3 linked regions of the Anolis sagrei genome follow. Each later gene encodes a partner of the first gene's protein in a complex. Links are inferred from orthologs where the notes say so. Each region holds a gene or a part of one and is shown in the gene's direction. Other genes may lie near its edges. The genes, in order: ING3, ANP32E and BRD8.

What was found.
Region 2: ING3 (region 1) and ANP32E share a complex: the UniProt entries of both Homo sapiens proteins name them as parts of the SWR1-like complex. The link is inferred for Anolis sagrei from reciprocal best matches to the Homo sapiens genes ING3 and ANP32E.
Region 3: ING3 (region 1) and BRD8 share a complex: the UniProt entries of both Homo sapiens proteins name them as parts of the SWR1-like complex. The link is inferred for Anolis sagrei from reciprocal best matches to the Homo sapiens genes ING3 and BRD8.

Annotation. Positions count from the first base shown.
Region 1 is NC_090025.1:128,894,244-128,904,693, reverse strand, and holds the start of ING3 (inhibitor of growth protein 3), read left to right. Parts: upstream 1-5,719; 5' UTR 5,720-5,911; coding exon 5,912-5,939; intron 5,940-6,101; coding exon 6,102-6,173; intron 6,174-9,943; coding exon 9,944-10,044; intron 10,045-10,450. UniProt on the Homo sapiens protein: Component of the NuA4 histone acetyltransferase (HAT) complex which is involved in transcriptional activation of select genes principally by acetylation of nucleosomal histones H4 and H2A.
Region 2 is NC_090032.1:5,804,626-5,814,691, reverse strand, and holds the start of ANP32E (acidic leucine-rich nuclear phosphoprotein 32 family member E), read left to right. Parts: upstream 1-5,095; 5' UTR 5,096-5,377; coding exon 5,378-5,431; intron 5,432-10,066. UniProt on the Homo sapiens protein: Histone chaperone that specifically mediates the genome-wide removal of histone H2A.Z/H2AZ1 from the nucleosome: removes H2A.Z/H2AZ1 from its normal sites of deposition, especially from enhancer and insulator regions.
Region 3 is NC_090022.1:76,369,392-76,379,296, reverse strand, and holds the start of BRD8 (bromodomain-containing protein 8), read left to right. Parts: upstream 1-5,346; 5' UTR 5,347-5,397; coding exon 5,398-5,416; exon of another isoform or gene 5,417-5,426; intron 5,427-7,254; coding exon 7,255-7,351; intron 7,352-9,290; coding exon 9,291-9,360; intron 9,361-9,905. Other genes in the region: NHP2 (H/ACA ribonucleoprotein complex subunit 2), read right to left, coding at 1,716-1,841, 2,920-3,025, 4,619-4,688, 5,032-5,200. UniProt on the Homo sapiens protein: May act as a coactivator during transcriptional activation by hormone-activated nuclear receptors (NR). Isoform 2 stimulates transcriptional activation by AR/DHTR, ESR1/NR3A1, RXRA/NR2B1 and THRB/ERBA2.

The DNA of each region.
Region 1 (10,450 bases):
TTAATTTATTTTGCTTGGATTCCTCAGAAAAATCATCATTTAAGGCACCTTCAGCCTTTGCAAACGTCCTCCTTAGGGAGTAAGATTTGAATGAAGAATTCACACCATGATCCATTGGCTGCAGCAGCAAAGCCGTGTTTGCAGGTATGAAGACAACTTGAATTTCTCTGAAGAAACCAGTTAAATCTTTAGGGTGGCCTGGAACACTATCAACAAGAAGTAGAATCTTAAAGGAAATCTTCTTTTCCTTCCAGTAAGCCTCAAATGTAGGCTTGAAATAATCAGAAAACCAAGTTGCAAATAAATTAAGTCATCCAAGCTTTTACAATACTATTGTTTCAGCCCAGTTTACCTGTCCAAACGTATTCCCCCCTACCAACCGTCAAGGGTGTTAAGAGGAGAGGCCCTGTTCTTGGTCCCGCTACCTTTGCAGTAGTGTTTGGTGTGGACAATAGACAAGGCCTTTTCTGTGGTGGCTCCCCAGCTATGGAACACTCTCCCAAATGAAATTAGATCTGCCCCCTCCCTCCTGACCTTGCAAAGCATTTGCAGAGTGATGGCTGAGATCGGTAATTGACTAAGGTATTGACCACAATATGCGGGCTGAGTTGGACGTTTTTATCCTGGCGAATGTTTTAGTATGCTTTTTATCTGATATGTATTTTTAATTTATTGTTTATATATGATGTTTCAAAGGTTGTTTGTGAGCATTGAATACTTGCTGTTAGCCGGTCTGAGTCCCTCTACGGAAGTAGAGAAGATTGGGATACAAACATTTTAAATAAATAATATAATAAATATTGTAATAAACTGAAAGGGTAAACTTTAAATAGTTTTAAAGGGCTCTAGGATTCTCAGGATGATATATAAGCATAGGCTTGAGTTTACAGTCATCAGCTGCATTAGCCTCTAGCAGCAATGTCAACCTATCTTTTGCAGGTTTGAATCCAGGCATAGATTTCTCTTCTTTTGCAATAAAAGTTCTTGCTGGCATTTTCTTCCAATATAGGACTGTTTCATCAACACTGAAAATCTGTTCCTTTGTGTAGCCATCATCTTCTATAATTTTTGCAAATTCTGTGGGATAGGTTTCTACCATTGCAGTTTCTGTGCTAGATGCTTCTTGCACTTTTATTTTATGCAAATTGGACCTTGCTTTGAATCTATTGAACCAGCCTTTGCTAGGCTCAAAAGTTTCTTCAGCAGATGCCTTTCCTCTTTCAGCCTTCATCATATTAAACAGACTTAAGGCTTTGATGCGGAAAATGGCTATGCTGAAATGAATATTGTGACTGGTTTGGTCTTGAATCCACTCATTTAAAACTTTTCCATGTCAGCAAATAATCCACCCCCTTTTCTAATAACTTTAGTATTCACCGGTGTAGCTTTCCTATTTTATCTATCACCCTGGCTTTATTCTTAACAATTGTATTAACTGTGGAGCGAGGTACGCCTAGTTTGCGGCCCATGTCACTCATGGACATGCTTCCCTCACCAAGTTTGATTAGGTCTAGCTTTTCTTGCAAATTGAGAACTCTATGGGATCTTTTAGCTTTATCACTGCCCTTAGCTGCCATGATGTATTCTAATACTGTAAGAGACTCACTGGCCATGATGTCAAAAGCAGCACAGGCTGAATAGAGAGTGAAGGAATACTACCCACCTCATAGGCACTGATTGAATGAGCAAAAATGGCATAGAGGGAAATAGTATCAAACAGCACTTGATCTGTTGTAAGCAAGTCTCGCTTAAACACCTTTCTCCCTCTTTTAGCTTATTTTGTAAGTAACTCATGCAAACAGCTGATGCTTATACATACAAATAGTTCAAAGCAACCTCCATAGTTGCATTGAACTGTTTGTGAGAACACTGCTTTTTAAACTGTGGGTCCCAACCCCAAATGAGAACCCTTGAGTTCAATGTTGAGGTCACAAAAAATGGCAACCGGAAAACGTTCCTGAATACCATTTAGACAAATCTGTTAGCATCAATGTATAGTGTTTGCAGCAGGCTGCAGAAAACGCTTCAGCTTGTTTAGAAAGCCTTGCAAGTGCTGATTGCAAATGCGTAGAAGAGGCATGGATCCTTTAGTTGTTGGGGGGAAATGAAGCTCTGAGCACTTCAGGAAATGCCAAATGGTTGGCCATGGAGCATCAAGAAGCCAGCGGCACCACAGAAACATTTGGGAAGTGTGTGGCATTGCACTGCAGCGGCTTCAGGATGCAAGGAGTGGAACAAGCCAAAGTCCAGCTAATGGCTAAACTCCAGTGGCCACCAAAGTGCAAGAGGGAAAAGAATGCTTGCAAAAGTAGTGTGTCCTGCTGAGGCTTCCAGCCAACTCCTTTCCTGGTCCAACCTCTTTGCTGCTTGGCCTCTCACAAACTTGTTCAGAATTACAGTAAACAAATGCGTCTGCACTCGCTCATCCCTTTTTGGTTCATTCCGGCTTTTTATTCCACAGATATATAACCTACACATCAAAAAGTGGGGTATTGTATGTACAGCTATACCTCCCTTTAGACTGCTAACATATACCAGGTCCCTTGGGCTATATTTCTCAGGAAGGAACTGGCAAAAGCACCTGTGAGGTCCCTTCCATACAGCTGTATAAAATCCCAATTGAACAGTGTGGATTCTGATACCCAGTTCAAAGCAGATATTGTGGATTAAGTGCTGTAATAATCTGGATTATATGGCAATGTAGAAGGGGTCTGAATCTCCTTGTGGGTGTGAGTATTCCTTGCTTAAGAAAAAACCCCATGAAATTCATGATGTGGTCGTAAGTCGACAGACAACTTGAAGGTAAATATACTTGAGTGTTTTGTGAGACTTTCCACTTGTAAATTCCCCATGTTTTTCCACTTCTACTCCTTCTTCTGTATTTCTTCTTGCAAAAGTCTGTGGGCTTTTCCACACAGCCCTTTATCCCAGGATATCAAGACAGAAAATCCCACATTATCAGAGTGTGGACTCAGATAACCCAGTTCAAAGCAGATATTGCAGATAATCCACAATATATGCCCTGGGTTATCTGAGTTTACACTGCCACATAATCCAGTTCAATGTGGATTTTATACAGTTGTGTGGAAGGGGCCTACGATAATCCAGCTCAAAGCATCAACTGCTGCTCTGGGCCAGAATGAAGAGAGAGGGGACCAGGGGACAGTTCCATCTTGTCTCCTGCATATGTCATCAGTTGGGAACCCCTCCTCCCAACACCAACTGCTGCTCTGGGCCAGAGAGAGGGGGCCAGGGGCCAGCTCCACCTTGTCTCCTGTACTATGCTTATAATATAATGTAATATAATGTAATATAATATATTGTATATACATATAATATTTATATTATAATGTAATGCAATGCAATATATGATAATAATATGATATTATAATTATATATTTATATGACATGTAATATTACAAATGATATTACAATATAATGGTATAGTACAATATAGTAATATTTAATACTGATATTGTACTGCGAGGAGGAGCTGAGGAGCCTTCTAACCAAGGTGAAAGAAAGCGCAAAAGCTGGGTTGCGGCTAAACATTAAAAAAAACCAAGATTGCAGCAACAAGAATGATTGATAACTGAGAAATAGAGGGAGAAAACGTGGAGGCCGTGACAGACTTTGTATTTCTAGGTGCAAAGCTGACTGCAGATGCAGACTGCAGCCAGGAAATCAGGAGATGCTTACTTCTTGGGAGGAGCGCAATGACCAATCTCAATAAAATAATGAAGAGTAGAGACATCACACTGGCAACAAAGATCCACATAGTTAAAGCAATGGCATTCCCCATAGTCACCTACGGATGTGAGAGCTGGACTTTAGGGAAGGCTGAGCGAAGGAAGATAGATGCTTTTGAACTGTGATGTTGGAGGAAAGTTCTGAGAGTGTCTTGGACCACCAGAAGATCCAACCAGTCCATACTTCAGGAAATAAAGCCTGACTGCTCATTGGAGGGAAAGATATTAGAGGCAAAGATGAAGTACTTTGGCCACATAATGAGAAGACAGGAAAGCTTAGAGAAGACAATTATGTTGGGAAAATGGAAGGAAAAAGGAAGAGGGGCCAACCAAGGGCAAGATGGATGGATGGTATCCTTGAAGTGACTGGCTTGACTTTGAAGGAGCTGGGGGTGGTGATGGCCAACAGGGAGCTCTGGCGTGGGCTGGTCCATGAGGTCACGAGGAGTCGGAAATGAATGAACGAATGAACAACAACAATATATATGCTCTGTGCATAATGAGTACCTTAAAAACAAAAGAACTAATGAACAAAATCACACCAAATTTGGCAACAAAATGTCTTACAACACAAGGAGTGACCATCACTCAAAACATTATGATTTTGTCATTTGAGAGTTGTAGTTGCTGGGATTTATAGTTCACCTATAATCATAGAGCATTCTGAACTCCACTAACGATGAAATTGAACCAAACTTGGCACACAGGACTCCCCTGACCAACAGAAAACACCAGAAGAGTTTGAGAGTTGTAGTTCACCTACATCTAGAGAGCACTGTGGACTCAAACTGTGATGGATCTGGACCAAACTTGGCACGAATACGCAATATGCCCAAATATAAACACAGATGGAGTTTGAGGGAAATAGACCTTGACCTTTGGGAGTTGTAGTTACTGGGATTTATAGTTCACCTACAATCAAAGAGCATTCTGAACCCCACTAACGACAGAATTGGGACAAACCTCCCACACAGAACCCCCACGACCAACAGAAAATACTTAAGGCCATCCAGTCCAACTCCTTTCACCAGGGCAAGAAAACGTAATCAAAGCCCTCCTGACAAAGACCCATCCAGCCATAGATAGGACATAGTTCTTTTAAAATTTTTATTTTGCACTGCCTTTATGTTTAAATGCACTTTAATGTTTTTGCTTTATTAATGTATGTATTTATGGCATCAAAGTGTGCCGACTGTGTATACCGCCCTGAGTCGCCTCTGGGCTGATATAGGCGGGATAGAAACAATGTAAATAAATAAATAATAGATATATGACTCTCTCTCACACAGATATAGTATAATAGATTCGAAAGGGATCCTTAAAGAAGGACAATTATATGTTGCATGTTCCAGAGTAGGCAAATCAGACACTCTCCACATCAACACTGTTTACCCACAAGCATAACGAAATTACATATATTAGAAACCAACTTTCTCATTACTTTATTTTCCAGATCACCAGACTGGGCCACAGCAACGCGTGGCTGGGGACAGCTAGTATGATATATTGCATGTATATATACCTTGTAAGCCGCTTTGAGTTCCCTTCAGGGTGAGAAGGGCGGCATATAAATGTCGCAAATAAATAAATAAATAATGTGGATTTTTTGTTTTGCTAACGTGAATTACCTGGCAGTGAAGAAGGGGCCTAAGAGCTCCTTAAGTTTTGAAACCTGCAGCTGCCTTGGTTTACCTCAGTACAACCTCACAGGAGTTCAGAGAGTCACACAGTACTTCTAAATGAGCATGCACGGTATTATTTTGAGAAGTTTCCTCGGCTCAGCTCACACACGAACAACTTTCCCTTGTAACTCGAATCCAAAAGGCGAGTTTCCTCCTTCTTTCTTCTTTAGCGGGATGCAGGACTCTGCCGAAACTACGTTTCCCAGAGAGCAACGGGAGAGGCGCGAGCCGCCCGGCCTACGTCAGAGGCGCCAGGAGCCAATCGCGTGGCGGCCGAAGCCGGAGCGTCATCCGCCAATGTTGTTTTCGCTGAGTCGAGCCGCTGGTGTCGTTGGCGGTGCCGGCGCCATATTGGAAGGGACGAGGCGGTGGTTGGCGTTTTTTTTTCCCTTTCACCCCACCCAAAACTCCCCTCTTCGCTCGCCGCTGAAACAACCGAGACCCTCTTAAGCCACGGGCCTCTCCGCCGCCGCCGCCACCATGCTGTACTTGGAGGACTACCTCGAAAGTGAGTCGTTGGAAGCGAGGGAGGGAGGGGGGCGCTAGGCCCGAAGAAGGGAGGGGCGAGAGAGAGAGAGCGCGGAGGGAGCGTAGGCTCCGCCCCTCGCTCCGCCCCCTCTATTCTTCCCTGCCTTGACTGACTCGCTCTTTCTCCCCTCCCTCCCCGCAGTGATTGAACAACTTCCCATGGATCTCCGCGACAGGTTCACCGAGATGCGCGAGATGGACCTGCAGGTGCAGAGTACGTGAGCGGGCTCCGCCCACTGTCCGCCATGCGTGTTGATTGACGTGGTGTGGGCGGCGCTTAATCCTAGTTCCTCTCCCCCCGCCCTTCTCTTATGCAAAAGGGAAAGCTGAGCCTGGAGCGAGTGTTTTCCAGAGTAACCATTAAGTCAGCTCTATTGGAGTCTCTGTGTATTTATTGTTTATCTTGTCAGAAGTGAATTGAAAACACAGTTATAATGTATATAAAAAAAAACACAAACAAAGTTTTAAAAAACCGCAACATAGTTAAACACAGAATTTAAAATAAACACAAAAGCTTGGCATTATACAAAATTTCCCTGGCCACTTGGAGTGCCTCTGGTGTCTCTGTTAAGGGATCCTCCAGTGTGCATTTGGCAGCACTCAGACTGCATTGTAGTAGGTGATTTCTTCTCCATCCTTGCATGTTGTGGACTCCACTTCATAGCCCCATTTCTTTTTCCCCCATGTCTTTTTTTTATTGCCGAAACAGGTAGAATAACATCACAATCCACCAACATTTTTAAATATTGAAATACATAATGAATACATATCACATATTGTTTCATAGTGATCTTATCAATCCCATCTTTACCTCTCCCTTGTGTCTAATGATTTTACACCCCTCACCTCCTTCCCCCACCTCCAGGAAACAGTACTTAGCCCCATTTCCTAAGGTTGGCTCTGCATCTCATGGTGCCAGAGCAGGATCCGTTCAGTGCCTTCCAAGTCACCCAGTCTTCTGTGTGCTCAGGAGGGAGTTTCTTACTCAATTCCAGCCACTGATTGAAGTTCTCAGTTTTAACCTGCCACTTTTGGACTCTCACATGCTGAAGTGTTATAGAATCAGAGTTGGAAGAGACCTCATGGGCCATCCAGTCCATCTCCCTGCCAAGAAGCAGAAAAAATTGCATTCAAAGCACACCGAGAGAGTATCTCTATAGATCTTAGAAAACGATTGTTAGGCATCAATTAGCTGCCTAGTTGTAAGCTGTTTTGAGTCACCTTCAGGTTCGAGAAAGGCAGGATAGAAATTTCATAAATAAATAAATAAATATTTCTTTATTTAATTCGTTGGCATGCTGGCTAATATCCAAGCAGAGAATGGGCCTTGGTCCTTTCATTGATGGCTGCTGCTTCCCAACGGATATCAAGTGGTGCAGTGGTGCAGTATAATTTATCCAGCGGTATAATTTATCCAGCGGTATTGGGCATAAACTTCCTGTGATAATGTGGCATGTCTCATTAAGAGCCACCTCCACTATTTTAACTTGGTGAGATGTATTCCACACTGGGCATGCGTATTCAGCAGCAGAGTAGCAAAGCGCAAGAGCAGATGTCTTCACTGTATCTAATTGTGATCCTCAAGTTGTGCCAGATTTCGTATGATATTATTTCTAGCACCCACTTTTTGCTTGATAGTCTGGCAGTGCTTCTTATAAGTCAGAACACAGTCCAGAATGACTCCCTGGTATTTTTGTATGCTGCAGTGCTCCAATGGGATTCCTTTTCAGACAGTTCTCAGAGCTCGAGATGCTTGTCTGTTCTTAAGATGAAAAGTACATGTCTGCATTTTGGATGAATTAGGAATCAGATGGTTTTCCCTGTAATAAGCAGTAAGAGCACCTAAAGCTTTGAAGAGCTGTTCAACCATTTCAAAGTGCCCTGCTTGAGCAGTGGCATGATCGTCAGCATAGATGAAATTCTCTGTCCCTTCTGCAGTCGCTGATGATTAGTGTAAATGTTAAACATTGATGGAGTAAGCACACTCCCCTGAGGCAAGTTGTTCTCTCTGTTAATATATCTTGAGTATTCCTTATCCGAAATGCTTGGGACAAGCAAATGTCCTGGGATTTGGATTATTTTGGAATCCCTGTATACATATGTATATGTAATGAGAAATTTTGGAAATAGGACTCAAGTCTAAATAAACACTGAATTTTTTTAGACATTATACCCACATAGCCTGAAGATAATTTTATGCACAGTGTTTAAAATATTTTGTGCTGAAACCAAATTTATGTACATTGAAATGTATGTACATTTATGTTCGAAAGCACAAGTATCACTATCTCAGCCACCCAGGTGGACAATTTTGAACTTATCCCTCAAAACCAGAAGTGTCTCGGATTTCAGATTATTTTGGAACACCTGTGTGTACCTAATGAGATATCTTAGATATGGAACTGAAGTCTAAACACAAAATTCATTTATTTATAACATTTTAAATTTTAAATAATTAAATAAAATGTGTGTACAGCTCAGAATCTCAGCTATTCATGTAGACAGGGAGGGGAATAGAAAAATTAACAGCACCTTTAAGGTGAACTGGTTTTTATTTTAATATTACCGTAGCTTTTGTAGATATCTCACATCTTTTCAGTTTTACATCTGAAGAGTTGATTGATATCCATGAACAGTCATGCTAAAATAAAAGTCTTGTAAATACTACTAGGTTTTTCCATTTCCCCCCTTTTCCTTTTTTAATTCATTTAGAAAGTGGGCATTGTCTAGGTTATATTATTACCAAATACAAATCATGAGTCTTAGCACTTACAAGTATGTAACTTCAGCTGCAAAAGCCTGTATTCTTTAGTTTCAAATAATTAGGGGTACAGATAACCAAGTGTGTAGGACAACTAACTGGTAATAGATAGGGTTACTTTTAAACTTAAAGAATTTAAATGCCTCTCTGGAATATATGCAAGTCAAAAGATATGTGTTTCCATGGTTATTATTTCTCTTCCAAGTAATTTCAGTGGGTCTCCATGTGGACTAAATAATGAGTTGGTAAAAGCTCTTTGAAAGTGCATTTTTAAAGTACATGAAATATATCATTTTCCTTCAGTCAAAGTTGAAATAGCATTTACAATCCCTGACCCATCCCTATATATTTATTTATTTATTTATTTGCTTTATTTCTATACCGCATTTTTTCAGCCCTTGACAGGCGAAATAGCATTTACAAAGCATTTACAAAGTTGAAATAGCATTTACAATCCCTGACCCATCCCTATATATATTGCACTGCCTATACATAAACTGCACTCCCTATATATATTGCACTGCCTAGACATAAACTGCTTAATGGAATTGGTCCATTTATATATTTATATTACTTCAATGGAATTGAAGTAATATAAAATGACTTTATGTGATTTTTTGAGAGGAGAAAAACCTATATTTTTTTTATTTTTCTCCTTTCCAAATTGAACTTTGCCCTTTTTTTGTTCCTGTCACTTTGGATTGTGAGGGCATACCAAATGCTCTGTGTTGCAAGCACAGCTGACTTTCTTTCTTCTCATATGGCAAATTGGCTTAAATTTATCGGGCCCTCAGTATCCACTATGGATTGGTTCCAGCATCCCACTGAAATACAAAAATCCGTGGATGCTGAAGACACATTATATGCAATGGCATAGTAATATGAATGGAGGTTGCCACCACTTTCAGTTGACCCTCCACTTTTGCAGGAGTTGTAATAGAATTCGTTACCAGGTGTAATCTTAACCATGTAAGTTTGCACTAAAGTCTCACTTAACTCCGTATGCCTTTTCTGTAAAAAGTCACTTAGGACTTTTGATGTACATGTCATAAATCTTACATTGAGATTAATTTTTTTAAAAAACTAAATTTAACCTCGTACACATTTTTCAATAGTTTGCCCCATAGTATATTTATTTCTCATACTTCTGTTCTCCTTTTACAATCCATTATATATTTATAAGAAGATGAATGACTGCAACTTTAATGTTTGTGTGTTTTAAGATGCAATGGATCAACTGGAGCAAAGAGTCAATGAATTTTTTATGAATGCAAAGAAAAACAAACAGGAATGGAGAGAAGAACAAATGACTTCAATTAAAAAGGTAAGAGTAAGGAAAATTCTGATCAAAATAAAGAAGGCCCTGGAGTCATATTTTTAAATTGGAGGTGTGAACCTAATGAGAAATTATTCCTTCCGTCAGAAGGTACAGTTGAGTGAGAGGTTTTGGATATGGCTGTAAAGCAAGACGACTTTCCTATTCCCTGTTCTTTTTCTTAGGCTCTTTTTTTGTTTGCTCCAAAGCAAAAACTGAAGCAATTATTGCTCAACTTCCCTCCTCTCATGCTTGTCCATGGTTCTGATTTTGACAAAAGCAGTAACCATAAGAGGTATTTTCACGGGCAGGACCTGTGTCTCTGACCACACAGCCAGCTTTCCATAGTTGTTGCTAAGATTGTTGATGCCAAGAACCTACCGTGTTTGACTTTTTCAAATCAGATGTTCCTCAT
Region 2 (10,066 bases), on another chromosome or scaffold:
CTGTTGGAGGGCCAGATTATAATTTGAAAACAAAAACCCATAATAATAATAATAATAATAATAATAATAATAATAACAACAACAATAACAACAACACTTTATTTGTACCCCGCTACCATCTCCCCAAGGGACTTGGTGAGGCTTACATGAGGCCAAGCCCAAACACACAATACAAGCAATAATCACGACAATACAAGCAATTAAAATAAAAACATAAACATAACATTATCGATAAGACAACATACAATTAAAACTATGGGAAGGCCAAATGTAAAATTAAAATTGGAAATAGTGCTGAACATGGACGAACAGGTGATAGTGGCGCTCGTGGAGAGACATATGAGCAGACCTAAAAAATGTGAAGTGCTTTAGAGGGACAAAGTGCGATGGGATCATTAATCCGGGAAGGCACAGAACTGCCACGACCAACAGAAAATACTGGAACGGTTTAGTGGACATTGAACCTGAGTTTGGGAGTTGTAGTTCACCTACCTCCAAAGAGCACTGTGGACTCAAACAATGATGGTCTGGACCAAACTTGGCACGAATACTCAATATGCCGAAATGTGAACACTAGTGGAACTTGGGGAAAATGGACTCTCATGTTTGGGAGTTGTAATTGCTAGGCATTGACCTTGAGTTTAAGAGTTGTAATTCACCTACCTCCAGAGAGCACAGTGGGCTCAAACAATGATGGATCTGGACCAAATTTGGCATGAATACTCAATATCCCGAAATGTGAACACTAGTGGAACTTGGGGAAAATGGACTCTTATGTTTGGGAGTTGTAATTGCTGGGGATTGACCTTGAGTTTGGGAGTTGTAGTTCACCTACCTCCAGAGAGCACTGTGGACTCAAATAATGAGAGATCTGGACCAAACTTGGCACGAATACTCAATATACCCAAATGTGAACACTGGTGGAGCTTGGGGAAAATGGACCCTCATGTTTGGGAATTGTAATTGCTGGGCATTGACCTTGTGATTTGGAGTTGTAGTTCACCTCCATCCAGAGAGCACTGTGGGCTCAAACAATTATAGATATGGACCAAACCTGGCACAAATACTCAATATGCCAACATGTGAACACTGGTGGAGTTTGGGGAAAATAGACCTTGACATTTGGGAATTGTAGATGCTGGGATTTATATTTCACCTACAATCAAAGAGCACTCTGAACCCAGCCCAAACTTGGCACACTACCTACATGGCCAACACTGAATACTGCTGGGTTTGGGGGGGGGGGGCTGTTTTTGAATTCTGGGAGTTGTAGTTCACCAACACCAAAAATGAAGAGAAGGGCAGGTCTTCTCTACCAAAAGGGTTCCTAAGACCCCTTAGTTCACCTTCATAAGTGAGTTATATTAATTGTACTGTTTTCTTTGCTTGCTGTTTTGTTTTTACTGATGTGTTGTTGGGCTTGGCCTCATGTAAGCCACCCCGAGTCCCCTTGAGGAGATGGTGGTGGGGTATAAATAAAGTTATTATTATTATTATTATTATTATTATTATGCAATCAAAAAGCATTCGGAATCCCACCAATGATAGAATTGGGCCAAACTTCCCACACAGAACTCCCATGACCAACAGAAAATATTGTGTTTTCTGATGGTCTTTGGCAACCCCTCTGACACCCCCTTGTGACCCCCTCAGGGGTCCCGACCCCCAGGTTGAGAAACGCTAGCTTAGCCCTTCATCCAGTCCTTTCCTGTTTCTGTAACTTTAGTCCTCTTGATAACACTCTGACTATTTTGGACTGTAACTATCATAAAACACAGCCTATGATCAGGAATTTTGGGAGCTGAAGTCCAAAGGTTAGAATCAGGGCTGTAAAACCATAAGCCCCTGTGAAGATTTGTGGCCCTACAGCGCCACCTCCTCGAATTAAAACACATTACAAAAATAAAGGTACACTTCAGTGAAGTCAATGCACTTCTGGACACGATTCCTCTGACAGAAAACTTGGTACCGACTGAGCATCCTTTACTCAGAATCCCAAGATCCGAAATACTCCAAATTTGTCCGTGTGAGTAGCTAAGAGAGCGACTCCTTTGCTTTCTGATAGTTCAATAGACCCAAACATGGTTTCTTGTACAAATTTTTAAAAAAACTGTGTATAAAATGACCTATATTTTTAGATTACTATGTGAAACATTAAAGCGATTTGATGGTTAGATTTGGGTGGAAAGTCCATGGTGGGAGAAAGAATTCACACCTAGCTCCAACAGACAAGAGTTCTTTATCCCATCCTGGACTTTCCACAGATATATAAACCTAATTTTCCTAGTTTCCAACAGACATCACAACCTCTGAGGATGCCTGCCATAGATGTGGGGGAAACTTCAGGAGAGAGTGCTTCTAGAACAGGGGCCCTCAAACTTTTAAAACAGAGGGCCAGGTCACAGTCCTTCAAACTGTTGGAGGGCCAGATTATAATTTGCAACCCCCCTCCCCCCAAAAAAAACCATGAATGAATTGCTGTGCACACTGCACATATCTTGTTTGTAGGGGAAAAAAATACTTAAAACAATACAATAATTTAAATGAAGAACAATTTAAAAAATATAAACTTATTACTATTTCAATGGGAAGTGTGGGCCTGCTTTTGGCTGATGAGATGGGATTGTTGCTGTTGTTGTGTGCTTTCAAGTTGTTTCAGATTTAGACTGACCCTGAGCAAGGACCGGGTAAATGACCTTGAAGGGCTGTATCTGGCCCCCAGGCCTTAGTTTGAGGATCCCTGGTCTAGACCATGGCCATACAGCCCGAAAAAAGCTACAACAACCCACCGACTGAACAACTGAACAACACCACCCCAGCCATTCCACAGATATATAAACCCATGGTCCTAATTCCAACAGACCTCACTACCTCTGAGGATGCTTGCCATAGATGCAGGCGAAACGTCAGGAGAGAATGCCTCTAGAACATGGCCATATAGCCCGAAATAACCCACAAGAACCTAGATTGAACAACAAATTAGCATAGCACAGGAGACAAGGTGGAACTTAAGTAAGAATAGCCTTGCAGCTTCAAAGCCTGGCTGCTTCCTGCCTGAGGGGGGGTCCGTTGCTGGGAGGTGTTAGCTGGTCCTGGTTGTTTCAAGCAGCCAGGCTTTGATAAGGATATTGATAAGCTTCTCTGCTCACAAAAGAGGCTCAGGGAAGAAGACCAGATTTGATTTTATTTGTCGTGTCAGAGCAACCAGTCCATTATATTACATTTCTAACAGAACAAAGCAAACAAACAGAAAATTTCACACAACTTGTGAGTTTGGTAGCTGGTTAAATGTCCTTTGACCAGTATCTGGCCACTTGGAGTGCTTCCGGTGTTGCTGCAAGAAGGTCCTCCATGGTGCATGTGGCAGGGCTCAGGTTGCATTGCAGCAGGTGGTCAGTGGTTTGCTCTTCTCCGCACTCGCATGTCGAGGATTCTACTTTGTAGTCCCATTTCTGAAGGTTGGCTATGCATCTCGTGGTGCCAGAGCGCAGTCTGTGCAATGCCTTCCAAGTCGCCCAGTCCTCTGTGTGCCCAGGAGGGAGTCTCTCATTTGGTATTATTATTATTAACTTTTATTATTTGTACCCCACTAGCATCTCCCGAAGGACTCGATGTGGCTTACAAAGGCCAAGGCCTCAAAGCACAACACAACAATACAACACCTAAAGCAAATTAAAAACAAAGCAATATTAACGACATGCAATAAACAATACATCAAGACACTATGAAAACTGGGCCAGGATTAAAACTGGGGTACAGGATTAAATGGTATCAGCCATTGGTTGAGGTTCTGGGTTTGAGCCTGCCACTTTTGGACTGTCGTTTGCTGAGGTGTTCCGGCATGCAATAAATAAGCTGGAACATTATTTTAGACTACTGCAACGCTTAGACTACTGCAACGCTCTCTACGTGGGGTTGCCTTTGAAGATGGCCCGGAAGCTCCAATTAGTCCAACGCTCGGCAGCCATGATACTAACTGGAGCGGAGCGCAGGGAGCATACAACTCCTCTGCTGCACCAGCTCCACTGGCTGCTGATCTGCTACCGGGCTCAATTCAAAGTGCTGGCGTTGGCCTTTAAAGCCCTAAACGGTTCTGGCCCAACTTACCTATCCGAACGTATCTCGGCCTATCAGCCCACCAGGACCCTAAGATCTTCGGGGGGGGGGGGGCTGCTCTCTATCCCGCCTGCTTCACAGGTGCGGCTGGCGGGGACGAGAGACAGGGCCTTTTCTGTGGTGGCCCCACGGCTATGGAACGCCCTCCCCATGGAGGTAAGATCAGCCCCCTCATTGATGGTATTCCGGAAAAGACTAAAAACCTGGATGTTCGAGCAGGCGTTCGGTTAACTCAGTGCAATAAGTGTAATGATTGAAGGACTGGCAATTTGGACGACGACACTGGATCGCGATTTTAGTCAAGAGATGAATTGGATTGTTTATAGATATATGTACTGTGGATTGGAGCCCCCGGTGGCGCAGTGGGTTAAAGCACTGAGCTGCTGAGCTTGTTGATCGAAAGGTCGCAGGTTCGATTCCGGGGAGCGGTGTGAGCTTCCGTTGTCAGCCCTAGCTTCTGCCAACCTAGCAGTTCGAAAACATGCAAATGTGAGTAGATCAATAGGTACCGCTCCATCGGGAAGGTAACAGCGCTCCATGCAGTCATGCTGGCCACATGACCTTGGAGGTGTCTACGGACAACGCTGGCTCTTCGGCTTAGAAATGGAGATGAGCATCACACCCCAGAGTCAGACATGACTGGACTTAATGTCAGGGGACTACCTTTACTACTGTGGATTGTGTTTTTATGCTTTTAAACTGTATACTGTTGTTTGTTATAAGTTGTTGTAAACCGCGTTGAGTCGCCGACTGGGCTGAGAAACGGCGGTATATAAGTATAGCAAATAAATAAATAATAAATAAACATCTTCTCTGCTCACAAAAGAGGCTCAGGGAAGAAGTGCAGATGGAGGAGGCGCTTGCTTGACGAGCAGGCTGAGTGTCCAATGGCGCGGAGCCGGGGGCGGGGCGCTACCTCCTCCAATGGGGTCTTCCCTAGGCGGGCTGTCCTCCCTCCCCCTCCCTCTGGTGGGCGGGGCTTCTGGCAGGGGGCCCCATGCGTGGTGTCATGGAGGCTCAGTCCGCGAGCGGCCATTGAAGGGAGCGGAGCTGCGCGTTCGGCACAAACAGCGGGAGGAGGAGGAGGAGGAAGAAGGAGCCGCCGCCTCGAGGGCCATTTTCCTTTCCTAAACTCCTCGTTATTCTTTCCAGCCCGAAAGAGAACTCCTGCTTGTTATAATCCGGATTATTTTTGCCCTCCGGACTTCGGAGGCCTAGCCTAAAGAAGGGGGAGACCAAGAAGAAGGAGAAGAGGAGCAGGATGGAGATGAAGAAGCGCATCAATTTGGAGTTGAGGAACCGCGCGCCGGAGAAGGTGAGCCTTGGCCTCCCTCCCTGTCTCGCTTTCGACTCGCATTCGCCATGGCAGACGCCCCTGCCTTCCTTCCTGCCTTCCGTCCTTCGACGCCAAGCCCTCCTAAATATGTCTGGATATGCGAATGTGCGCATTTGTGTTGTTTTGTTTGCGTTTCTCTCCTCTTTCGGGGGCCTTCTTTCCGTGTCCCCCCCCCCCCCCAAATAGTGTTTTCATGGCCTGAATCACTGGTTTTGCTGTGAGTTTTCCGGGCTGTGTGGCCATATTCTAGCAGCATTCTCTCCTGACGTTTCGCCCACATCCATGCCAGGCATTCTCAGAGGTTGTGAGGTTGCAGGTCTAAAAATTCACATTAATCCATTATTATTATTATTATTATTATTATTATTATTATTATTATTGGATTGTGATACAATTGTGATTATTATTATTATTATTATTAGGTTGCTTTGATATAATTGTTGTTGTTCTTATTATTGGGTTGCTGTGAGTGCTGTCTGGCCACGATGTAGCAGCACTCTCTCCTGACGTTTCGCCCAAAATTCACAGCAACCCATTATTATTGTTATCGTTATTATTATTGTTATTATTATTATTATTATGTTGCTTTGATATAACTTTGATTATTATTATCATTATTATTAGTATTGGGTTGTGATATAATTGTGATTATTATTATTATTATTATTGGGTTGGTGTGAGTTTGGCCATGTTCCAGCAGCACTCTCTCCTGACGTTTCGCCCACATCGATGGCAGGCACCCTCAGAGGTTGTGAGGTTTCCAGGTCTCAAAATTCACACCAATCCATTATCATTATTATTATTATTGGGTTGCTTTGATATAATTTTGATTATTATTATTATTATCATTATTATTGTTATTGGATTGTGATATAATTGTGATTATTATTATCATTATTATTATTATTGGGTTGCTGTGAGTTTTCAGGTCTGTCTGGCCTCGTCCCAGCAGCATTCTCTACTGACGTTTCTCCCCCATCTATGGCAGGTTGTGAGGTCTGTTGGAAACTAGGAAAATTGGGTTTATATGTCTGTGGAATGAATGATGCCCAGGGTGGGAGAAAGAACTCTTGTCTGCTTGAGGCATGTGTGAAGGTTGCAACTGTCCACCTTGATTAACACTGAATGGCCTTGCAGCATCAAAGCCTGGCTGCTTCCTGCCTGGGGAAATCCTTTGTTGGGAAGTAGGTGGGTGGGAGAAAAAACTCTTGTCTGCTTGAGGCACATGTGAATGTTGCAACTAGCCACCTTGATTGGCACTGAATGGCCTTGCAGCTTCAAAGCCTGGCTGCTTCCTGCCTGGGTGAATCCATTATTATTATCATTATTATGATTATTATTAGTGTCTTGTTGAAGGCTTTCATGACCGGAATCACTGGGTTGCTGTGAGTTTTCAGGTCTGTCTGGCCATGTTCCAGCAGCATTCTTTCCTGACGTTTCTCCCCCATCTATGGCAGGCATCCTCAAAGATTGGGAGGTTTCCAGTTCTGAAAATTCACAGCAACCCATTATGATGATGATGATGATGATTATTATTATTATTGGGTTGCTGCGGGTTTTCGGGTCTGTCCGGCTACGTCCCAGCAGCATTCTCTCCTGACGTTTCGCCCACATCCATGGCAGGCATCCTCAGAGGTTGAAGGGGGTCTGTTGGAAACTAGGCAAGCGTGGCAAAGCCTTGCAGCTTCAAAGCCTGGCTGGTTCCTGCCTGGGGGGAATCCTTTGTTGGGAGGTGCTTATGTGGCCACTTTCCAGCAGCATTCTCTCCTGACGTTTCGCCCACATCCATGGCAGGCCTCCTCAGAGGTTGAAGGGGGTCTGTTGGAAACTAGGCAAGCGTGGCGAAGCCTTGCAGCTTCAAGACTTGGCTGATTCCTGCCTGGGGGGAGAAATCCTTTGTTGGGAGGTGCTTATGTTTTGGAAGAGATTGAGAGACGGATGGAGAGAGAGAAAGGCTTCCTTTGGCTCCCATCTTCTAGATTTGTTGTTGTTGTTGTTGTTTACTGCCTCCAAAGTCCAAAATATTTGCCTCTTTAACCCTCTCGGGCAGGCGTGGGCCAACTTTGGCCCTCCAGGTGTTTTGGACTCCAACTCCCACAATTCCTAACAGCCTACCGGCCTCCAAAGTCCAAAATATTTGCCTCTTTAATCCTCTAGGGCAGGCATGGGCCAACTTTGGCCCTCCAGGTGTTTTGGACTCCAACTCCCACAATTCCTAACAGCCGGTAGGCTGTTAGGAATTGTGGGAGTTGGAGTCCAAAACACCCGGAGGGCCAAAGTTGGCCCATGCCTGCCCTAGAGAGTCTCCTTCGCGTCTCAATGATTGGAATTATTTAATCCGAGCTCAAAAGTGCGCCTTCAACGACAACGTTCCCGTTGTCACTTTTTTTTGGTCCAATTTCGGCACATTCTCCGCGACCTACGACGACCATCATCCACAATCCTACGCTGTTTAGGGGTGTCTTTTTAATCTGACTTTTCCTGGCTTGTTTGGATTTTGGGCAATCAATCTATATATAAATAAAAATTTAATGTTTGTTTGTGGCATTAACATAACTCCAAAACCACTGGGCGAATCGACACCAAATTCGGACACAAGACACCGATCAGGCCGACGTGTCACCATCTCTCAGAAAAACACAGCAAAAGAGACTTTAAAAGCCAAAAAATATATAAAAAATACATTACAACACAGCAGAAGAGACTTTAAAAGCCAAAAAATACAAAAAAAACACATTCCAATTCATGCGCAAAACCACATCTAAACACACACAAAGCACATATGGGCCACAGCAACGCATGGCAAGGTACGACTAGTACTCCTCATAATCCAGAATTCTCCGTTCTTATGTTGCGTATCTAGGTCATGGAGGTTCTTCCCTTCCCTGGAATCCAAAAGGCGAGTTTTGCCCCCTTTTTTTGCTTAATCAAGGAAAGAAGAGTGTCGAAAATCCCAAACTTTTTCTCCTGCTTTGATATTTTTAATTTTTTTCGTCTCTCTCTCTCTTTCTAGCCACGCTGCTTCTAACTGGCTCTTTTCCCCTCGAATCTAGGTCACGCGATGGCGGCGGTGGTGGCGGTGGCGCTCTTGTGTGTGCGCCGTGCCTTTTTACAACCATTTGGAGGAAGAGGCGGAGGCTTTTGTTCGGAGAGGACACCCTAACCAACCCCCCAATCGACTCAGTCGGGTGGCCCTCTCCCTCCCCGACTATTTCACCATTTTGGTTGTTCGAAAAAGAAAAGGGGGAAAATGTGGCGGCGCATGGCGGAGGCTCCTGGCCTCTTTTATTTTTAACTTCTCAGCAGCCGGAAAGCAAGCCCAGGCCGAATCCATCTTAGAGTCCCGTCTACACTTTCTCCCTAAGAATGGGAGACATGTTTGTTTCTTCTTGTTGAAAAGCAGACAAGCCGTGCATGGAGTTCTGTGTGTGTGTGTGTGTGGACACTGCTTGCATTTGTCGCTGGATGTGGAATTTACTTGGCTTTTTCGGAGTTCTTGCCTTGCTAGAGAGAAAGCACACACAGAGGAAGGATTGAATGCCTTCCTTCTTCCTTCCTTCTGTCTCCTTTCTTCCCTTCTTTCCATCTTCCTCAATTCCTTCCTTTCTTCTTTCCTTCCTTACCTCTTCCTTCTTTCAGACCTCCTTCTGGTTTTTTTCCTTCCATTTTCCTCAATTTCTTACTTTCTACTTTCTTCTTTTTTTTTCTTTCTTTCTTTTTTTCTTCCCTCCCTCCCTCCCTTCCATCTTTCTTTCTTTCTTTCTTCTCTCCTTTTGTTTTCTTTCCTTCCATTTTCCTCAATTCCTTCCTTCCTTCAGACTTCTCTCATTCTGTTTTCTTTCCTTCCATTTTCCTCAATTCCTTACTTTCTTCTTTCTTTCTTTCCTCCATTCCTTCCATCTTTCTTTCTTCCCTCCTTGTGTTTTCTTTCCTTCCATTTTCCTCAATTCCTTTCTTTCTTTCCTCCATTCCTTCCATCTTTCTTCCTTCTCTCCTTCTGTTTTCTTTCCTTCCATTTTCCTCAACTCCTTTCTTCTTTCCTTTCTTCCTCCATCTTCTGTCCTTCAGATTTCCTTCTCTCCTTCTGTTTTCTTTCCTTCCATTTTCCTCAATTCCTTCTTTTCTTCCTTCCTTCCTTCCTTCCATCCATCCATTCCTTTTGTCTTCCTTCCCTCCTTCTGTTTTCTTTCCTTCCATCTTCCTCAGTTCCTTCCTTTCATCTTTCCTTCCTTCTTCCATCTTCTGTCCTTCAGACTTCCTTCTTTCCTTTTATTTTCTTTCTTTCCTTTTCCCCCAATTCCTTCCTTTCTTCTTATTGCCTTCCTTCCATCTTCCTTCCTTCAGACTTTCTTCTCTCCTTGTTTTCTTTCCTCCCATCTCCCTCAGTTCCTCCCTTCCTTCTGACTTCCTTCTCTCCTTCTGTCTTCTTTCCTTTCGTCTTCCTTAATCCCTACCGTCTTCTTTCTTTCCTTCCAGCTGCCTTTCTTCCATTCCTTCTTTCCATCCATTATCTCCTGGTGGATGGAAAGATGATAAGACGATTGTTTTCGGGCTGAGATCACGTCCCAAATCCCGTGAAGTGAGAGAAAGGATTTGTGGGCCACTGCTGTGCAT
Region 3 (9,905 bases), on another chromosome or scaffold:
GTCAGTGCCTTCAACAAGCAAAACGTATGATACAGTCTTTCTAATGTTGCTGTAGCTGGCTGATATAAGCTTGGGATTTTATCTGACTGCATGTGATCATTATTTTGCCCTTCTCTAGGGCACCAATGACTGTTATGACTATGGGAGGAGTGGCATAGGAATATATCTAATTAAATTTCTTTTCAGATTGCTTGGTGAATGTTTTTGGTTTTTGTTTATTTAAAACCAAGGAAATATTTCTCTAAAAGAGGTGTATTCCTTACAATATCACTTCTGAAAATCTTCAGCCTAGTAAATTTCACATAAGACAGCTGATGAAAGCAGTGGAGTAGGACTCCAGGGTTCAAATTCAAACCCAGCCACAGAAACCCTCTAGAGATCACCCATACAGTATCTCCTTCCATTTTATTATGTAGTGATTGATAGCACTAATTCTCAACATTTCATTGTCCAACTCCTTAGTAATGGCCAGGGCTTCCAAGAGCTGAAATCTAAATCATCTTGGGAATCCAAGATTAAGAACAAAAAAATCTAGATTACAAACTGAAACAGAAATTTCATTTCATTGTGGAAGTAGCAAGTCATAGTTTTGAACTCAGACTTAGTTGAAACTGCAGAACTGAGGAAATCTACCCCTAGGAAGGGAAATTCAACCCTGAAAGAGTTATCATGGGGAGGGGAAAGGTATCTCTACTGAAGCGTTGTCATCAATCCTTATTTCCACAACCAAAAATTGTCAAAATCCAATTGTCATGGGGACAACGTGAGGTGAAGCCTTCTGCACAGGGATGCAGACAGCAAAATAAACGTGTTAACCCTTCCCTATACTATTCAAAACTAAACAAAAATTGGCTGGAGTTAACTTTAAAAATGTACCTGTTCTGACTTGCATACAAATTCAGTTTAAGAACAATTTTTTTGTAAGCTGGAGGGGGAGCACCAATAGCCAGAGTTGCCACCCCCTCCTGAGATGTGGAGCTGCTGTGTGAATGCGCATATGCATTCACACAGCAGCCCAGACTAAAAAGGAAGTAGACAGTACATTAACTGCACTCATCTTCTCCTTCCTCTTGAGGCACAGGGATCTATTGATGTGCACACAGCAGTCCTAGGCATGGCGGGGGGGGGGGGTGTCTGTGATTGCTAGTCCTTCCTCCCCCCACCCAAAAAAAAGCATAAGGCAGCTGGGTGAGTGTACCTGTTGTGGGGCACATTTTTCATACCTCAGCTCCAATAGTCTGGGAAGCCCTCTAAGAATGTTTGTCCTGCCCCCACTGTAGTCACAGTTTCCCCACCTTCAGTGTTCCTAAGTCCCCAGCTCCATATTAAATATGCAAAGGCTGCATAAAAACAAGATGGATACCTTATCAACTGCATGTATAGGCCAAGACAGCCAGTAAAAGAATGTTCCATGCATATAGGATGTTTTAGAAAATATTTTACTGCATTTATATCAAATAAGAATGCCTTTACAGCTCGATATATCCACATAGGCAGTAGATTATATTGCAAAATAAATCACATTTTGTAAAAAACACACTTCATAAGTCAGTTAAAACAGAAAAGAGTTGTTGGACTGCAGACGGTATTAGCTGCAGTACTCTATTCAAGGCAAGTTCTCCTGTCCAAATGTTCCAAATCTGTGTAGCTATTACTCAACTGGAATGAACCTAAATGAAAATTTAAATCAGTCCATGAACATATTTTGTTGATGTTCACAATGGGAGTGGAAGGGCTTCGACCTCCTCAAAACACTCATCGTAGGCTTCCTGATATTCTTCATGAGATTTAATCAAGATAACACAAGTTGGACGTTTTGAACCTGCAGCTGCTCCTAAATCCTGAGAAAAGAAAACAAATATTTGTCTAGTTTACAAATGATTTAACAGATACATAGCTCCACTGTCACAATTTACATAAACATGTCCCATAAGTCAAGATGAACTGATCCATTGTTTTTGAGCATGACAAATCAATCCCACCACATCAAAAAGATGACAATTTTCAAAAGCCTCATAAAACCTGCAATGTGGCACTTATTTCAGAATACAAAATGATTTTCCTGTGTTATAGAAATTGTAATTGACTGTCAGTAATTGACATTATTAAAACTGTTACAAAGCTATAACATGATCCTGTATAGCAGGGAGACTCAATCTAAGACTTTCTATATGAAAGTGGTTGTATCCTGCTTTGACCTCTTTAACACAGGAATCCCTTACATCAGCCCCTGCATTCAAACCTGGTTCAGTCAATGTGGACAGCCTGGATCACAAAATTTAAGGTTGCAGATAAAGGCAAATTATCTCTTTCAGAATCTGGACACCATATTTAAGATTCTATTAAGTAGAACTTCAAAGACATTCATTATATATGCCCGCAACTCACCCTCAATAGCATTACAAATTACTGAACTGAATGCAAATACAGGCAGCCCCCAAGTTATGAACAAAATAGGTTCTGTCGGTTTGTCCTTAAGTTGAGTTTGTATGTAAGTCAGAACAAATAATATTTTTCAGTGTAATTCCAGCCAAAAATAAGTAATTTTTAGCTTTGGATAACATAGGGAAGGGTGAACACCCCTGTGGTATTTGTTTTGCTGTCTGTTCCCCTGTTCAGAAGATTTAACCTCACCCTCTGTCCTTGTAACAATTGGATTTTGATAAACCCGTCTTGTGGTAAAAAGGATTGGTGGGAAAGTTTCAGTGGAGACAACTTTCCCACATGATAACTCTTCCAGGAGTGAATTTCCCTTCTGAGGGGTAGATTTCTCTCACTTCCTGTTGTCTCGCCCCCGTTCTTAACCCAGTCAGATGTTTGTAACTCGGGGACCGCCTGTAGCTTCCCAACTTGCATTCAGTTCCCATAAGACATACAAATAAGAAGGCCCCCTTCCCTGTTCCTCCTCTAAATCATTACCGTTTTGGAGGGGATGTAGACATATGGAAGATTCCGGTCTTCACACATGATGGGGATATGGCAGTAAACATCAATAGGCAGTGTGTCTCCTGCAAGAACTGTGATCCTAAGAGAAACAGGCAGGATACCATTTAAAAAAGGACTAGACATTGCTCCTTAATGAAGTGGGAGAACAACAAAGCTACTGTTAATCCCTCTTCATAATATAAAGTTGCAATACTGTTGATAGTTGTAAGCCTCCTCAATCTCAGCAGAATTTCTGAGTAAATTCTGCTCTCTGCAGCTGCTTTACAAACCAATTCTCTGCTACCTAATTTTTAAATATTTGTAGTGTGGTCAGTATTCACATAAATTGGATTCGACTTAAGAGACTCGTACTCTCACACAGACAGAATGTGAGAAATAAAAAAGGCAAATAGGTCAGTGTGAGGCACTGAGGTTAACATTATGCAGATCCAAATGAAAACAATGCTGCTGTTATATGACTTCTGGCTTCATCATGGCTTCATCATCATTGTGGCCTCCTAAAGTTTGCATTTTTGACACATGGGCACATTTTAGTTTCCCACATGACACAGAAATACAAGGTGTTTCTAAAAGAAGGACGTGATCTGAAATGGCTATCTCTCTGCAACCACAAACCACTCATAAATGAAACTTACCCTTTGGAAGGATGAGGCATAGAACTTCAAAGAATTACAAACAGCCTTTAGCCTCAGTCATTTGCAAGATGGTGACCCACATAAGGACTAATGAGATATTTTCCATTTGAGGAGTTAATTTTTAGGTTTGTTTCTGGCTCAAAATAGTAAAAATGATAACTCATTAAACCATTTGTAACTTTTTGTGTAACTATAAGATGTTACCATGGTGAAATACACTGCTTTCAAACTGTGTCCATCATTTTGAAACACCCTGTAATTCACTCATAACAATCAGGAACACTACAAAGAGAGGACTTAGTTCCAAGATCTGCAGCGGATGACTGAACTGAAGTCAGCCATACTGTGTCAAACTTGACACAGGAAACTCTGAGGGAAGCAAATCATTCAAGGAACAATATCGCAGATTCCTGCATAGGCAGAATACCTACTGATACCCAAAATGGTGGTTTGTGGGCTGGTGCAGGTCAGTAATCTACTGGCCGCTGGTGCATGTTGTTTCCAAGAAGGAAATACTGTAGTTATAGTTAATGAGCACAAGTGTGCTTATCTCTGGCTTTCTGGGGAGCAGGGGGGCAGTTGTCCCCCATATTAGATAGCTTAAGAAGCACTAAAAAAGACAAATGCTCTAAAGGAATTAAGCGCGAGGCACCTGTGATCATTCCAATATTAATTTAATTACTTCATTTTTATACTGCCTTTCCCCTGGTATGAGAATTAAAGGCAGCTAACTGCAAACATGACATTACACCTGGGACAAGAAATAGTTTATGCTTAGTGAAATGGAATTTGCTCCGTCAGAGGGGCGGAGTCTTTTTCCCTCAGAGGGGTGGAATCTTTTTAAGCAGAGGCTGGATGGCCATCCGACAAGTGCTTTGTTTGGATGTTTCTGCATGGACTAGATGGCCCTTGGGGTTTCTTCCAACCCCATGGCTGTGTTACTTTCTTTTCTGGCAAAGGAGGGGCTGGCATCTGTGAGTAGCGCACCGGGTGGTCCTTGGGGAGTCTTCTATCGCAAATCATGTTAAGATTCTTACCCCTTCTCGCCTTTGTTAATGAACTTCTGGACCTCTTTCACTCCACGCCGAATCTGTTTTACCTTCGATGCTGCAAGTAGAAGGGGAGAGAGAATATGTATGTGGGAAGCCACCAACCCAGCAAGGAGGCTTGAAAGGGAGCCCTCTGAAGACCCCCATCCCCTCTCTCCAGGAGTGCTGCCCCTAAAACCTCCCCTTTTCCCAAAGGTGCACCTACACTGCAGAGTTAATGCAGTTTGACCTAGGCCAGGCATGGGCAAACTTGGGCCCTCCAGATGTTTTGGACTTCAACTCCTACAATTCCTAACAGCCTCAGGCCCTTTCCTTTTCACCCTCAGCCGCTTAAGCTGAGGACCCAAGTTTGCCCATGCCTGAGTACAGTAGATGCAGGCCCAACCCCTTCCTTCCTGCACCTTTCTTGATGCACTTGTAGAGCTTCCGCGTGAGCTTGCGGGAGGCCAGGGGCCGCGCGATGGCGTTGACGTTCTCCACCAGCTCGTGGTAGGAGCGCTCCGGGGTGGCCTCAGTCTCCGGCGCCGCCTGCTCCTCCTCGGCCTCCTGGCGCTTGCTGGCCCGGCCCATGCCTGCTTCTCCGCCGGGAAGGAGCCACGCGCCTCTCCCGCACTGTCGCGCTTCCGGCTCAGACCAAACACGTGCCGGGAAGGGAAAGCAAGGCGTCGGCCAATAAGAACGCGGCTTTGAGGAGGAAGCACCGCCCACCGCTCTATGGCATAGCTCGCGGCCCCTTTCCCGGCACGCACCGGGCGTGCGTCGGAAAGATGGCCGCCGGGACGGGTAGTGAGTGGGGGTCTGTCTTTTGAGGAGAGGGTGGAGGAAGGAAATAAGGCGAGCGGGCGGCGGGTGACAGGGTGCCTGCGTTTTTTTAACAGCTTCCATAAAATTACCAGGTCTTGGGTTGCTGTAAGTTTTTCGGGCTGTATGGCCATGTTGCAGAAGCATTCTCTCCTGACGTTTCGCCTGCCTCTATGGCAGGCATCCTCAGAGGTTGTGAGAGGCGAAACGTCAGGAGTGAATGATTCTGGGACATGGGCATACAGCCCGAAAAACTTACAGCGACCCATGATTCCGGCCATGAAACCCTTCGACAACACATTTACCAGGCTTCCCCCCCCCCCCCCCCCTTTCCTCCATGTAGGGAAAAACATATCTTCTTATTTATTTCGTGTCGCTTCTGCAAGCCCCTTCTGGTGGATTGGCTGTCTGCAAAGATGATGCCCTGATGTTTTGATGTTTCGCAATCCTTGTGGGAGGCTTCTCTCATGTCCCTGCATGGGGAGCTGGAGCTGACAGGGGTAGCTCATCCGCGCTCTCCTCGGATTCAAACCTTCAGCCCTGCCGGCACAAGGGTTCAACCCTTTGCACCACTGAGGGCTCCTCAAGTTGCTCCTGACACAGAAAAAAATGTGTCAAAAGAATTGCATAAATAAATTATAAAACTGATAAAATAGAGGGAACACAACCAGCTAAATAATTTTTGGCCAAAAAAGGGCAACAGCGACCACATTGTGTTGTCAAAGGCTTTCATGGCTAGAATCGCTGGTTTGCTGTGAGTTTTCCAGGCTGTATGGTCATGTTCCAGAAGCATTCTGACGTTTTGCACACATCTATGGCAGGCATCCTCAGAGGTTGTAAGGTCTGTTCGAAACTAGGCAAGTGGGATTTATGTGGAACTCTTGTCTGCTTGAGGCAGGTGTAAATGTTGTAATTGGCTACCTTAATTCACATTTTAATTTCCTTGCAGCTTGAGAGTCTGGCTTTGGAATGGCCAGCCTCCCACTCTGGACATGCCATAAGTATATAAACTCCACTTGCCTAGTTTCCAACAGACCTCACAACCTCTGAGGATGCCTGCCATAAATGTGGGTGAAACATCAGGAGAGAATGCATCTGGAACATGGCCATATAGGCCAAAAAACTCACAGCAACCCAGCATTGTCTAGCTTTAAACAGTTCTTTCTCTGTGCATGAAGCAGGGCATTGTGGGCACACATACAGCTGCAGAGTCTTTTGTTCTGCTCCGCAGTCGCAGATTCTTCCACCTTGTGCGACTGACAACCATTTTGCCAGGTTGTCTTTTGATCTGCACAGTCCACTTCTGAGTCTGTTTAGGGACTTCCAAGTTGCTCATTTTTGGTTTGCCCCTGGAGGAAGACCTTCATGGGGGGCTATCCAATTGGAATTTCCTGGTTTAGCTGCCCAGAGGGGATTCCCTTGCTATTGCTGGGGGGGGGGGGGAGTGGAGGACATTAAGAGGAGTGGTGGTTCTCATGAAAAGCATTGCTTTTTTAAAACAACATATCTGCTGCCACACACCTTTTCAGGGCATTCATAGGGCTGAGAACTATAACCTAGCAGCATACTACTACTGCAGTCTCTTGAACAGGCATGGGCAAACTTGGGCCCTCCAAGTGTTTTGGGAGTTGAAGTCCAAAACACCTGAAGGGCCCAAGTTTGCCCATGCTGCTCTTGAGGCTTACTTAAATAGGAGTATTGATTGAGATTGGCGGCTGCACGGACAAAGTTAGGTTTATTTTGAGGTGCTGTCACAAAAGGATCTGTGGGCAGGTTGCAACATTGCAGTGTTTATCTCTTCTCTTTCTCTCTCTGACTTCCAGAGCACAAGTTGCTGAATGTCGGGCCCACAGAGCCATGGTCCATCCGGGAGAAACTGTGCTTGGCCTCCTCTGTCATGCGAAGTGGGGACCAGAACTGGTATGAGATGCATGCTGATTATTGTTGTTATTATTTATAGCTAACGTTCCTTAATTGAGGCAATGCAGTTTAAAGTCTACAACATATAAATATTAAAGTAGTCTTGAACATAGAATCGCTATAAATTTAAATAACTAAAATCTATTAAAATACCTAGGGGCTAGTTGCCCCACCCCACCCCCGCCCAAGGATTGGCCTTTAAAATGTTCTTTAAAAACCTGCCTGAAAAGAGAGGTTTTAGCCTGCCACCAAAACAAAAGGACAGCAGGGAGGGGCCGATCAGGTTTCTCTAGGAAGAAGGGGAGCTCCAGAGTTGAGGCAGCCAGAGCTGATAGAAGGCCTTCTCCTGAAGATCTTAGGGCCTGGGCAGGTTCATACTAGGAGATGTAATTTGCCAAAACTTGCTGCTAAGTCCTGGGCATTGTAATTTCAATTAACAATATTATCTGTTCTTTGAACAAAATTCTGAATTAATTTGTTGTAGTTCTTAATTACCAAGTACAAGTCAAGCATTCCCTATCTTAAATGCTTGGGATTAGAAGGGGAGTTGGATTTGAAGTTTTTTTTCCAGATTTTGGAATATGTATGTACCCATATTTACTCAAGTCTAAGGTACCATCGAATCTAATGTTTACCTCAATTTTCAAACACCTAAAAACAAAAAAATTGCTAACGATTGCAATGCATAGCAGCAAAAGATACACACTTTTTGTACTATGCCCATTACAGTTACTCCCTGCTTAGAATTCCTTCTGTAAAAACTATTAAATAAGAACACCAAAGCTCTCAGCAATGGAAAAGAAACAGTGGAGTGCATCTATGTTGTGGAATGAATCCACTTTAACGTCTATAGTTCAGTGCTATGGAATCATGGGGGCTGTAGTTTTTAAAAGCCTTGAGCCTTCTCTGCCAAAGAATGCTGATGCCTCATCAAACTACAAATTCCAGGATTACATAGCATTGAGCTTTGACAATTAAATTATAGATGACACCCCTCAAAAAAGCTCCATGTGCTCCTGCAGCAGCTTCCTCTATTGCTTTGGCTCAGCACTAAAATTACCCTATTATGCAAATCTAATGTGCACCCTAATTTTGGCAAGGTAATCTAGCCAAAAAAGGTGAGTGTTAGATTCAAGTAAATACAGTATTTGCATGTGCATACATAATGTGATATCTTGGAGATGGAATCCAAGTCTTAACACAAAATTCATTTAAGTTTAAAATGCACTTTATACACATAACATGAAGATAATTTTATATACATTATTATTAATTTGTGCATAAGGCAAAGTTTGTGTAGCATGAATGATCAGAAAACAAAAGTGTTGTTATATCAGCCACCTATCTTTACAGTTTTGGATTTTGGAGTATATCAGATTTCAGAATTCCAGGTAGAGGATGTTTACTTGCTGAGATTTACATATTTTAGTGCTGTTTGTGATATTAGCTTTGAATTTGTTGAAAACGGTGAAAACCAGTTGATAAATACAGCTACCTGAAAACAAGTTCTCTCCGATTGTATGTAGGGACAGATTGGTGATTATCCTGACTTAATGAAGGGTGAGTTAGGCTGAGAGAAAAATTGAGCCAAGGTCATCCAGTGAAGTTCATCTGTCTCAGTTAATGATGTAGATGTAGTCCAGCATATTGCTTTTTAAACAGAAAATTTGATACCAGAGGCAGAAATAACATGGAAAGTGTAGGAATAGGTTTCTACACCAGAAAAAAGAGCGGTTCAACATGTTTCAGTGCTATTCAAAACTATGCACATGTGAAATGAAATAACCAGGTCAGGTAAGGATTGCATGAGTAAGCAAAAATAAAGTCTATTGTGTGTATCTTGTGGTTTCCAGGACTCTGAACATGAGACCAAATGTTTTCCCACTGAATTGTTGAAAAAGGGGGATTAAAGATCTTCAACTACTTTATTTTTCTCTAGGGTGTCTGTCAGCAGAGCTATCAAACCTTTTGCAGAGCCAGGACGCCCACCTGATTGGTTTTCTCAGAAAGTAAGATGTTTCATTTTCACCTTGATAATGTCAATAAGCTTTCGTTTCATATTTGGAGTATATTTGTCTTTGGGACTCACTTTGAGCGTGTGAATAAATATGAATAAAAAAACCCTTCCATTGAGTGTGTTTACAGGTGTTTTCTGATTCTGTGGGAATTTTGGTATAGTATTAATGGATAGGTAAACTTAAACTGTCTTGTGTTTAATGAACCCATGGAGAATTAATTGTCTTTCTTGCCCTGCACTTGATGCAACCAACCTGTTGCCAATTAGAATATATCTGTTCTACTTATAATCATTTGATGAAAAATGACATGGAACATTTTTGTCCCAGTATAGTATGTTGGTTCAGACAAAAAAATACCGTAATTGGAGGTGGGTGGGGGTGGATTTGTTGGGAATTTTGCTGTACTAAACTGAAATGACAACGTGGATGATGCCTAAACTAAGCACATCTCACTGCACATTTTAGCAGCCAGAATTCTATTAGTTAGTGTTCTAATTTCTGAAGGTGAAGGCCTTTGCATTTCATACTGGAAAAAT